Linked DNA regions of Nothobranchius furzeri. The protein of the gene in region 1 interacts with the protein of each later gene in a pairwise test. Links are inferred from orthologs where the notes say so. Each region holds a gene or a part of one and is shown in the gene's direction. Other genes may lie near its edges. The genes, in order: nmt2 and acbd6.

What was found.
Region 2: the proteins of nmt2 (region 1) and acbd6 interact in binary tests that used the Homo sapiens proteins (3 or more experiments, as listed by UniProt). The link is inferred for Nothobranchius furzeri from reciprocal best matches to the Homo sapiens genes NMT2 and ACBD6.

What each region holds. Positions count from the first base shown.
Region 1 is NC_091745.1:79,248,226-79,252,612, forward strand, and holds the start of nmt2 (glycylpeptide N-tetradecanoyltransferase 2), read left to right. Parts: upstream 1-1,297; 5' UTR 1,298-1,519; coding exon 1,520-1,629; intron 1,630-1,922; coding exon 1,923-2,040; intron 2,041-2,515; coding exon 2,516-2,657; intron 2,658-3,219; coding exon 3,220-3,338; intron 3,339-4,387.
Region 2 is NC_091748.1:57,395,687-57,399,982, reverse strand, and holds the start of acbd6 (acyl-CoA-binding domain-containing protein 6), read left to right. Parts: upstream 1-1,233; 5' UTR 1,234-1,447; coding exon 1,448-1,726; intron 1,727-1,922; coding exon 1,923-1,987; intron 1,988-2,419; coding exon 2,420-2,516; intron 2,517-4,296. UniProt on the Homo sapiens protein: Binds long-chain acyl-coenzyme A molecules with a strong preference for unsaturated C18:1-CoA, lower affinity for unsaturated C20:4-CoA, and very weak affinity for saturated C16:0-CoA. Does not bind fatty acids. Plays a role in protein N-myristoylation.

The sequences.
Region 1 (4,387 bases):
ACACAGGCTCACAATGACATTGTGACATCATATGGTACCAGCTAACATTCTAGGGTACCTCTTAGCTAATTGCAATGGTAGATTTAAATTAAAATGCAGTGCAGAGTTTTTACCATGGCAACGGCACAACACTGACAGTTTTGGGCAAAAAAATTAAAATTTTAACTCATTTCAGTTCAAAAATACTTTATTAATCCCAGAGGGAAATTGATTGCTGTAGTAGCTCAGAATAATAATAATAATCAAGTCATCAAAGAGTTGTTGTATATTACAATGGCTGTTGGCAGGAAGGATCTCCAGTAGCGGTCAGTGTTGCAGCCAAACTGAAGAAGCCTCTGACTGAAGACACTCTTCCGTTGTCGGACAGTCTTGTGAAGAGAACGCTCAGGGTTGTCCATCATGTTCTTGATTCTCTGGAGAATCCTTCTTTGCATTATCTCCTCCAGCGGTTCCACAGTCGTCCCCAGAACAGAACCAGCCTTTTTTATTAGGCTGTTGAGCCTTTTCAGGTCCCTGCTTCTGATGCTGACCAGCACCTGATTTATCATTGCCCATTATGATCGATGGAAGAGATGGTTTGAATTTCCGTTTTCTCTGTCTCTGTTTTGCTCCTGCTCTGCACCCACGCTTCTTGCGTTTTAGCGCTGCTCCCGATTGTAAACCAGTTTGTTACCATGGTTACGCATCATAACAAATGCTCAAAAAGTGGAAAAAAGAGAATAAATTGTAGTAAAAATCCTCTTAAGCTTCACAGCACCAGAAACAGAAAAGTAAAATGTCAAAAAGATACAGTTTCTTTGAGAAACTAGAGGAAAAAATGTCCAAAAAAGGCAAAACTTACATATAGTCAACAGAGCTACTCCAACATGCAGCCACCCAGAGCAGCGCAGTTCCGGAAAATGCACTAAAGTGCAAAACTATTGACTACACGTGTCTGCAGCACGATTAGACACGCATTTATATAGTTTATCAGAAAAAAAACCGGTTGATTTGAGGATGATTTGCTCTTTAAGGGATGTCAATCTAGTGCATTTAGTTCTGGTGTTTATTGAACATCCTCTTCGCTGTGGCTTTGTTTTTATGTTTGTTCTGACTAATTTAAATGTTTAGAATGTGTAAAATTGTGGATTTAAAAAAACCTAAAGGACTTTACCTTTCAAAAGAAATGAAGAAATAAACAGCAACAGCAGTTACATAACCTGTGCAAGTTAAAATCAAACCATGACACTGTTTTGATCACGTGGTTGGTTTGTTAACCAGCTCGCATTAATAAAGCTCAAGTTCAAAGTTCAGTCGACTTTTCCTGAACCCAGAAATAATAGAATCTGGAGGTAAATCTGGAGATTATAATCGCGCTAATTCTGGTTTTAAAACTCTTCTACGGACTTCATCTCTGCGTTCCCTCCTATGGCGTCCAGGCGGCGCTGTTTCCTCCGACATTTTCTTTGTTTTTTTTCCATCTCGCCCGCTGTCCGAGCCCTCCCAAACGGCGGCTCGCTGTTTTAAAACATTTTTTCCCATGGCGGAGGACAGTGAATCCGCGGCCAGTCAGCAGAGCCTGGAGCTGGACGACCAGGACACATGCGGGATAGACGGGGACAACGAGGAGGAGAACGAGCTAATGCAGGGGTGAGGATGGCCTTTCCGAGCGGCTAGCGCAGCTAGCTAGCTAACGTTAGCGGACACAAACGTAACCAAACGGTTAACAGGCTGCTTTAAAGTGTGGCGTGTTGTTCTGAGAGTGTGTGTGGCTTTGTGTGTTTGATTTTATTAACAGCCGGTGTGAGTGTTACGTGCCGCCAGGGTCCAACCTGAATGTCATCGGTGTTGGGGCAAACCCGGCTAACAGCAAGTAGCTCAGCTGTCAGTCGTTGCTATGGCAGCTAAGGGTTAGCTCTGCGCGTTTGTGTTGGTCGTTACAGCAGTCCGGGGGTAGACCTGGGGGCCAAGAGGAAGAAGAAGAAACAGAAGAGGAAAAAAGAGAAGCCCAGCTCGGGGGGAGCCAAATCTGACTCTGCGTCCGATTCTCAGGAGATAAAGGTGGGATGATCTCAACCAGAGCCTAAAGGAAGCTGTCATTAGTGGGTGGGGGGTGAGGTTCGAGCCAAAGCCTAAAGGACACACCTGGTCATTTAGAGGTGAAACCACATTCAGATACACCACTCACCACAAAGTTAGTCACTCATAAAGTCAGAGGCCAAACCTGAGCTTCTGATTATATGGAAACAAAGTCAACAAGAAAGCAATTCATCTTTATTTATTTAGTTTTGTTTATAAGCTCCTGTTGACAGCTTCAGGGAGGCAGGCGTCTGAGTGACAGGTCACTTCAGCTGCTTTTTCCTCATTAAAGATAACAAACACACGAAAGAGAACCAGCAGCAGTCAGTCCTCTTAAACAGGCAACACACCTTTAGGTTTCTGCAGAACGGTTGTAATTCTCATGTTTAAGCGTTTGACATCTCAGTTTATTAACTAGTCTTGTCTCTTGTTTTAAATACGAATTTCATAAACTCAGAACCCTGGCTTGCCCATTCATAACATGCAGTACTTCCAAAGAGCCATGGAGTTGCTGTCCTGCCAGGGTCCAGCAAGGAGCGTCGATGAGGCAGCCAAGCACAAGTACCAGTTCTGGGACACCCAGCCCGTCCCAAAGTTAAGTAAGTGTCCACTAAAACCGAGTAGCGTGGAAAACAGCGATTTTTATTGGACCGTGGCAAAGTGTGTTTCTGTCTAACCCTATTATCACTATTTTACACGTTGAAATAGCACTTAAAGTTCCAACGAATCATCTTGACGAGGTAAAAAGAGCAGAAAATCTTTTAAATGTAAATCAGTTGTTAGACTTTGGTTTTAAAGCTGGATTTATTCAGTAACCTTGTGTTTGCAGTCAGCTGATTTCTTTCATCGGCATCTTGATACGTTTTATGTGCTCACTCAACTGTCCATCCCATAATCCCAACAGCTGTGGCATACAGTGGGGCTCTGGGTTTTTCAGTGCTAGGTGGCATCAGATTAAACCGTTTCCATGACAACCAGAGTCAGGTCTCCCGTCACAGGCCGGCCTGGTGGACACAGCCAGCTGATGCCGTCAGCTGTTGTCTTGTTCTTGTTACGTTTCTACAAAAGTGAGACGCTTTGTGTGACTTGTATCATGTCGGGAGTGACTCTGTGCTGCGATTGGACGGTAGGATTTTACCTGCGAGTTATCCGTTTTTGCAGATGAAGTTGTGACGACTCACGGGCCGATTGAAGCTGACAAAGAAAACATCAGACAGGAGCCATATTCTTTACCTCAAGGCTTTATGTGGGACACGCTGGACCTCGGTAATGCAGATGTAGTAAGTAGAGATCTTGTTTTAAATGTTCACGTGTGAATCGTAAACATTTGCAATCCTTTACAATGTTCATTATGTCCTCCTTGTAAATATTAAACAGGTTCTCTTGCTTCGGACGTGAAGGTGTTTCTAGTTACCTTTTACACGTTTCGACCGTCGTCTGCAGTCTTCTTCACAGGTGTCACAGGTGTTTGTGTGACGCGTCTTTATCAGCTGTTCTTCTGTGTTGATCGTTTTCCCTTGATCCCGGTCCGTGAGAGAGGGTGCTCGCTGCAGACCTACAAAGGCGGAGCTGCACCATAAGGTGGAGCTGCACCAGAGTCAGCCCCGCCCATTCACGCAAACTCAGCCTAGCCCACTGACTTCCGTTTTTGTTTTTCAACTTTATCGCAAACTAACCTGACTCTCATGAATTACGGCTGTTACTAGTTTACAGTCGTTAATGCTATGTTCTGTGCTCCAATTAAACAAGGTAAATATAACTTGCTACATGACAAAGTCTGAATATATCCCGAAATGAAAAGGTTTCTTTTAGCGAATATCTGCCCACAGCCGCTCTAACAAAAGTCCTGTACAACAACATTTGACGGCATCATGTGGGTTCTGGTAGTCCAGTGGCAAGATCGTTTGACTTAAGTTTTGCTTTCCCCTCAGCTGATGCTGGTTCGGTTCTCGGTGGGGTCGGCAACAATCTAGCCAGCTGAAACATTTAATTTGTTCATATTTTTGTTGTAATGTTCATTTTCAGCAAAATATTTATGTCTCTACAAGTTCTTTGAATTTGGTCGTTCCTAAACAGCATTTTAGTTGAAACTCTGCTCACAAATGGACTCACACTGGCTAAATAAACGAATGAATAAATAAAAAAACACATTAGTCATTATATGTTAAACGGCATACCAATAAATTGTTGTAAACATAGTACTGGCAAGTGTAGCTAGAAATGAGGAAAAGTGGTTATAGAATATTTCCACTACTGGGAGGCGAACCTGCGAAAAACTGCATTACAACCAGACACTATAACCACTACACCACCACATCTTACAGAAACT
Region 2 (4,296 bases), on another chromosome or scaffold:
TGGAACTGTTTGGGCAAATGGATGTTGCGTTTGGCAAAGAAAAAGCGAGAGAGTCCTTCAACCATCACAGTTCCCACAGGTAAGCGCAGTGGTGGGAGCATATACTGAGGGGTTGTTTTGCAGGTTTAGGCACAGGGAGCCTTGTTTGGTGTCATGAAACAAGTGTCGTGAAAAAAATCTGAGGAAGAACATGCAGAAATCTGCTTGTAGTCTAGGCTTAGGTCATTGCTGGCTGCTCCAACAAGACAATGACCCAAATAATACATGAATATCCAACAGTTAAGGACATCAAAACCAAGATCCTGACCCACACAGAGCCCTGACCTCAATTCTACTGAGAATCTGTGGTGGGTGCGCAAAGTGAATAAAAGCTTGGAAACCATGTGATTTGAGCCAGCTACAACAAATTGTAAAGGAAGAATGGACCAAAATCTTTATGGAGAGCTGTGCCAACCTAGAAAAGAACTACTCTAAGAGATTGTTGTCAGTTGTGGCTAGAAAGGGGGAACTATTGATAGCCAGGGGCCTAATAATTTTGGATGTCTCATTTCTGCTGTTGCTTGTTTCAACTTTGTGTATCAATAACATTTCCTAATTAAATTTATTGTTTATGTGTATGTACACAAATGTAATGGTGGAGAAGTGCAATGTAAGTAAATAAAAAACAGAGTCCCAATCAAAAGTTTAGGACCACTTGAAAATGGCCAAGAAACATATTTGGCATGGTTGGATCCTAACGAGTTTCCAAGTAGAGATTCATCAACAAGAAAAAATTAAAGAGACAAAGCATTTTTGAGCATGTAATTTATTGAAAACAATGCTTAAACTAAAACAGGCTGTTTTACAGCTGATCAAAAAGTCACACCCCAGCAGACGTAATAATCACAACTCCACACAGAATTTGTTTCCCCTTTAACTGTGTCAAAAAAAATTTAAACAAACCTTCCTCATGAAAGAGCATCAACAGATGTGTGAATGCACATTTTGTATGTGCCATACATGTAAACAGCGTGCTTGATTTTAAGTTATTTTCAGTACATTTCTAGTCAAAATGTTTTGTCTCACTCCCATTTCTTCTTGTTGCAAATTGAAGCTCTGCTTGGAACCTGGTTGGTTTAATATCCAACCATACAAAATATGAATTTAGCCATTTTTCAAGTTGACCTGGATTTGACCTGAAATACGTCACACATCATGGGTGCGTTTATTTGCACAGCTCCGGAACCTTTCTTCTTGGCTAGAGATTGCGCCGACCTCTTTTGATGAAAGGACTAAACACGGACTTACCGTAGAAATGAGTCTGGCATCGATAACGGATTAAAAGCGTTATTAGCAATAATAATAATACTTTTACAAATAAATATCTGACAGCTTCTCTGCGGCTGCTTTCCACTCGGGGATTTCTGGTGGTTGTGGTTTATAGGACAGCGCGTTGTGAACAATAACAATGGCCTCTGGTTCACCCTCGTCCTCCCCGGACACTGCGACGGGCTCGGGTACGGATCCAGCGCGGCCCGATACCGGCGAGCCTCTTGGTGGAGCGGGTTCAGACTCGGACTCGGACTTGGGTTTGAGTAAATTTGATTGTAGTGCCGTGGAGATGACGGAGGAAATGGAGGGAGAGGAACTGGAGCAGGAGTTTGAGTCTGCAGCTGACCGAGTGAGAGACTTGATTCAGACGGCCAGCAGGGACCAGCTGCTGTACCTGTATGCTCGTTTTAAACAGGTGAGTGTCACATTTTCAACACCAGTTTTAACCATACGAGTGTGTCCGTCTGGCGTAGTTAGTGACCCCTAGTGGCTTCAGATGAAACTACAGCCACATACTCTGAAGGAGTGTTTGTTCCAAACATGTTTATAACAGTGATCCAGGTTCAGATGGGACAGCAACCAGATTAATTATGTGTGTGTTTTGTTTTCAGGTCAAAGTAGGGAAGTGCAACACCCCAAAACCTGGTTTCTTTGATTTTGAAGGGCAGAGAAAATGGTATGTTGTTTAAACTCGCTGGCCTCGTTGAAATATAGGAATTAGTTTCTAGTTTATGTATTTTTTAAATTAAATTAGTAGCATGTGCATACAAAAGGGAAAATAATTCCCTCACATGTGAAAATGAAGAGAGTATTTAGTCATATTTTAGCCTGTTGTCTTTTAAAGGACTTATACCCACAAATGTACCCAGATACTTTTACCTGAAATGCAATCATAAAACGGTGTAACAAGTAAAAGTCTTTCTTAAAATGTACCATTATATTCAGATTTTCTTTGGCAGGACCTTTACTTTTCCAATCATTGGTTTTATTGTATTGTGAAAGTTTCCTGACCTTTTAATGGACCTTTTAAGAAAATCTCGGTCCAGATGAAGCCTCACACCCTTGACTGTTGAACAGGATTGTGATGGAGTTTGTGATTTCACCACAGGCTAGCCTGGAAGCAGCTTGGAGACATGGACGCTGAGCAAGCGATGCGAGAGTACATTACCTGTGTCAATGTGTTAGACCCAGAAGGCACCACAAAGGTAGAACCAGAGCTGCTCATTCAAACGTTTTTCTGAAATTTGTTTTAAAAAAGAAATAAATTCCAAATAGTTCAAATCCTCAAAGATATTTGAGAAGTAAAATGTTTTAAGAATAGAACCAAGAGGTTTGATGACCTTTTTAGTATTTTCCTTAAGCCTACCTGATTTAACAATGTGAGGATAATTATTTTAATTAAATCACTTTGTCTGAAACACATGCTGTTCTATTATTGATCTTATGAACCATTGATAAATAAATAATTCTCTCTTTGTAATTTAATCTAATTTAAATTTGGGTTTGCTGTATCACTTCATTACCCTCTGCTGAAGTAGATGGATGTTTAACAGAGATGGGGCCACTAGATGTCAGTGTTACATAGTTGACACCCACATCACCTCGCTTCTCCTCCAGCTTCACTGGCTGCCAGTCAACTTCAGGGTTCGTTTCAAGATCCTGGTTCTGGTCTATAGGGCCTTACATGGACAAGCACCATCTTACATTGGTGATCTTCTTAGTCCCTACACCCCCAGCAGGTCCCTGAGGTCCAGTGATCAAAGCCTACTGGTTGTGCAGCACCAGGCTAAAGACCAAAGGTGACAGATCATTTGCTGCTGTGGCCCCCAGACTCTGGAACTCTCTCCCCCTGAGTCTGAGATCAGTGGACTCAGTGAACTCCTTTAAAAAGCAGCTGAAGACTCACTTGTTCAAGCTCGATTTTGTATGACCTTCTTCACCACTCTCTCTTTATTCTGCTCTCCCCACCTATTCCACCTTCCTCAGGATCCACTGATTTCCCTCTTTCCTATTCACTCTCTCTCTTTCTTAACATTTTTTCTTTTAAGTCCCAATTGCCTATTTTTGCTCATTTTAAATATATTTTAAACATTTTCTAAATGCTTTTTTATATTTTAATATTTTTTTTGTTTTTGTGAAGCGCCTCGTGATTTTTATCTTGAGAGGCGCTATAGAAATTATATTTTCTTCTTCTTCTTGATTTCTTACATTCTTTACGGTCTCAACTTTGAGGTAAATACATCCTAAAAATACCCCCCCAAAATAAATATGCCAAATAAATAAACATACATATATATGGCCCACTTGGGCCAGCTCCTCCGGGGGAATCCTAAGGCGTTCCTTGGCCAGCTGAGAGACAGAGTCCCTCCAGCATGTCCTGGGTCTCCCTTTAGGTCTCCTCCCGATTGGACGTGCCCAGAAAACCTCACCAGGGAGGCGTCCAGGAGGCATCCTAACTAGATGCCACAGCCACCTCAACTGGCTCCTCTTGATATGGAGCAGCAGCGGGTCTACTCCGAGCCCCTCCTGTGGCCCTTTTTCTCATCTCTGGGGATTTCAACCATGCTTCTCCGTCATCTGTTCTGCCCACATTTACGCAGTATGTTACCTGTCCCACCAGAGACAATAAAATACTGGACTTGTTTTATGCCAACACCAACGAAGCATATTCGGCACAGGCAGGCTGTGGCCCCACGTATAGTGAGGAGGTGGACTGATGAGTGTGAGGAGGCTCTCAGGGACTGCTTCAGCACCACGGTGTGGACAGAACTCTGTGATCCACATGGGGAGGACATCAACGCCATCACAGATTGCATCACAAACTACATAAACTTCTGTTTTGAGAACACTGTTCCCTCCAGGACGGTGCGGTGCTTCGCGAACACCAAACCATGGATCACCCCGACGTCAAAACTCTCTTAAAGGAGAAAAAGAGAGCCTTCAAATCTGGGGACAAGGAGGAGCTGAGAACCGTTCAGAAGGAGC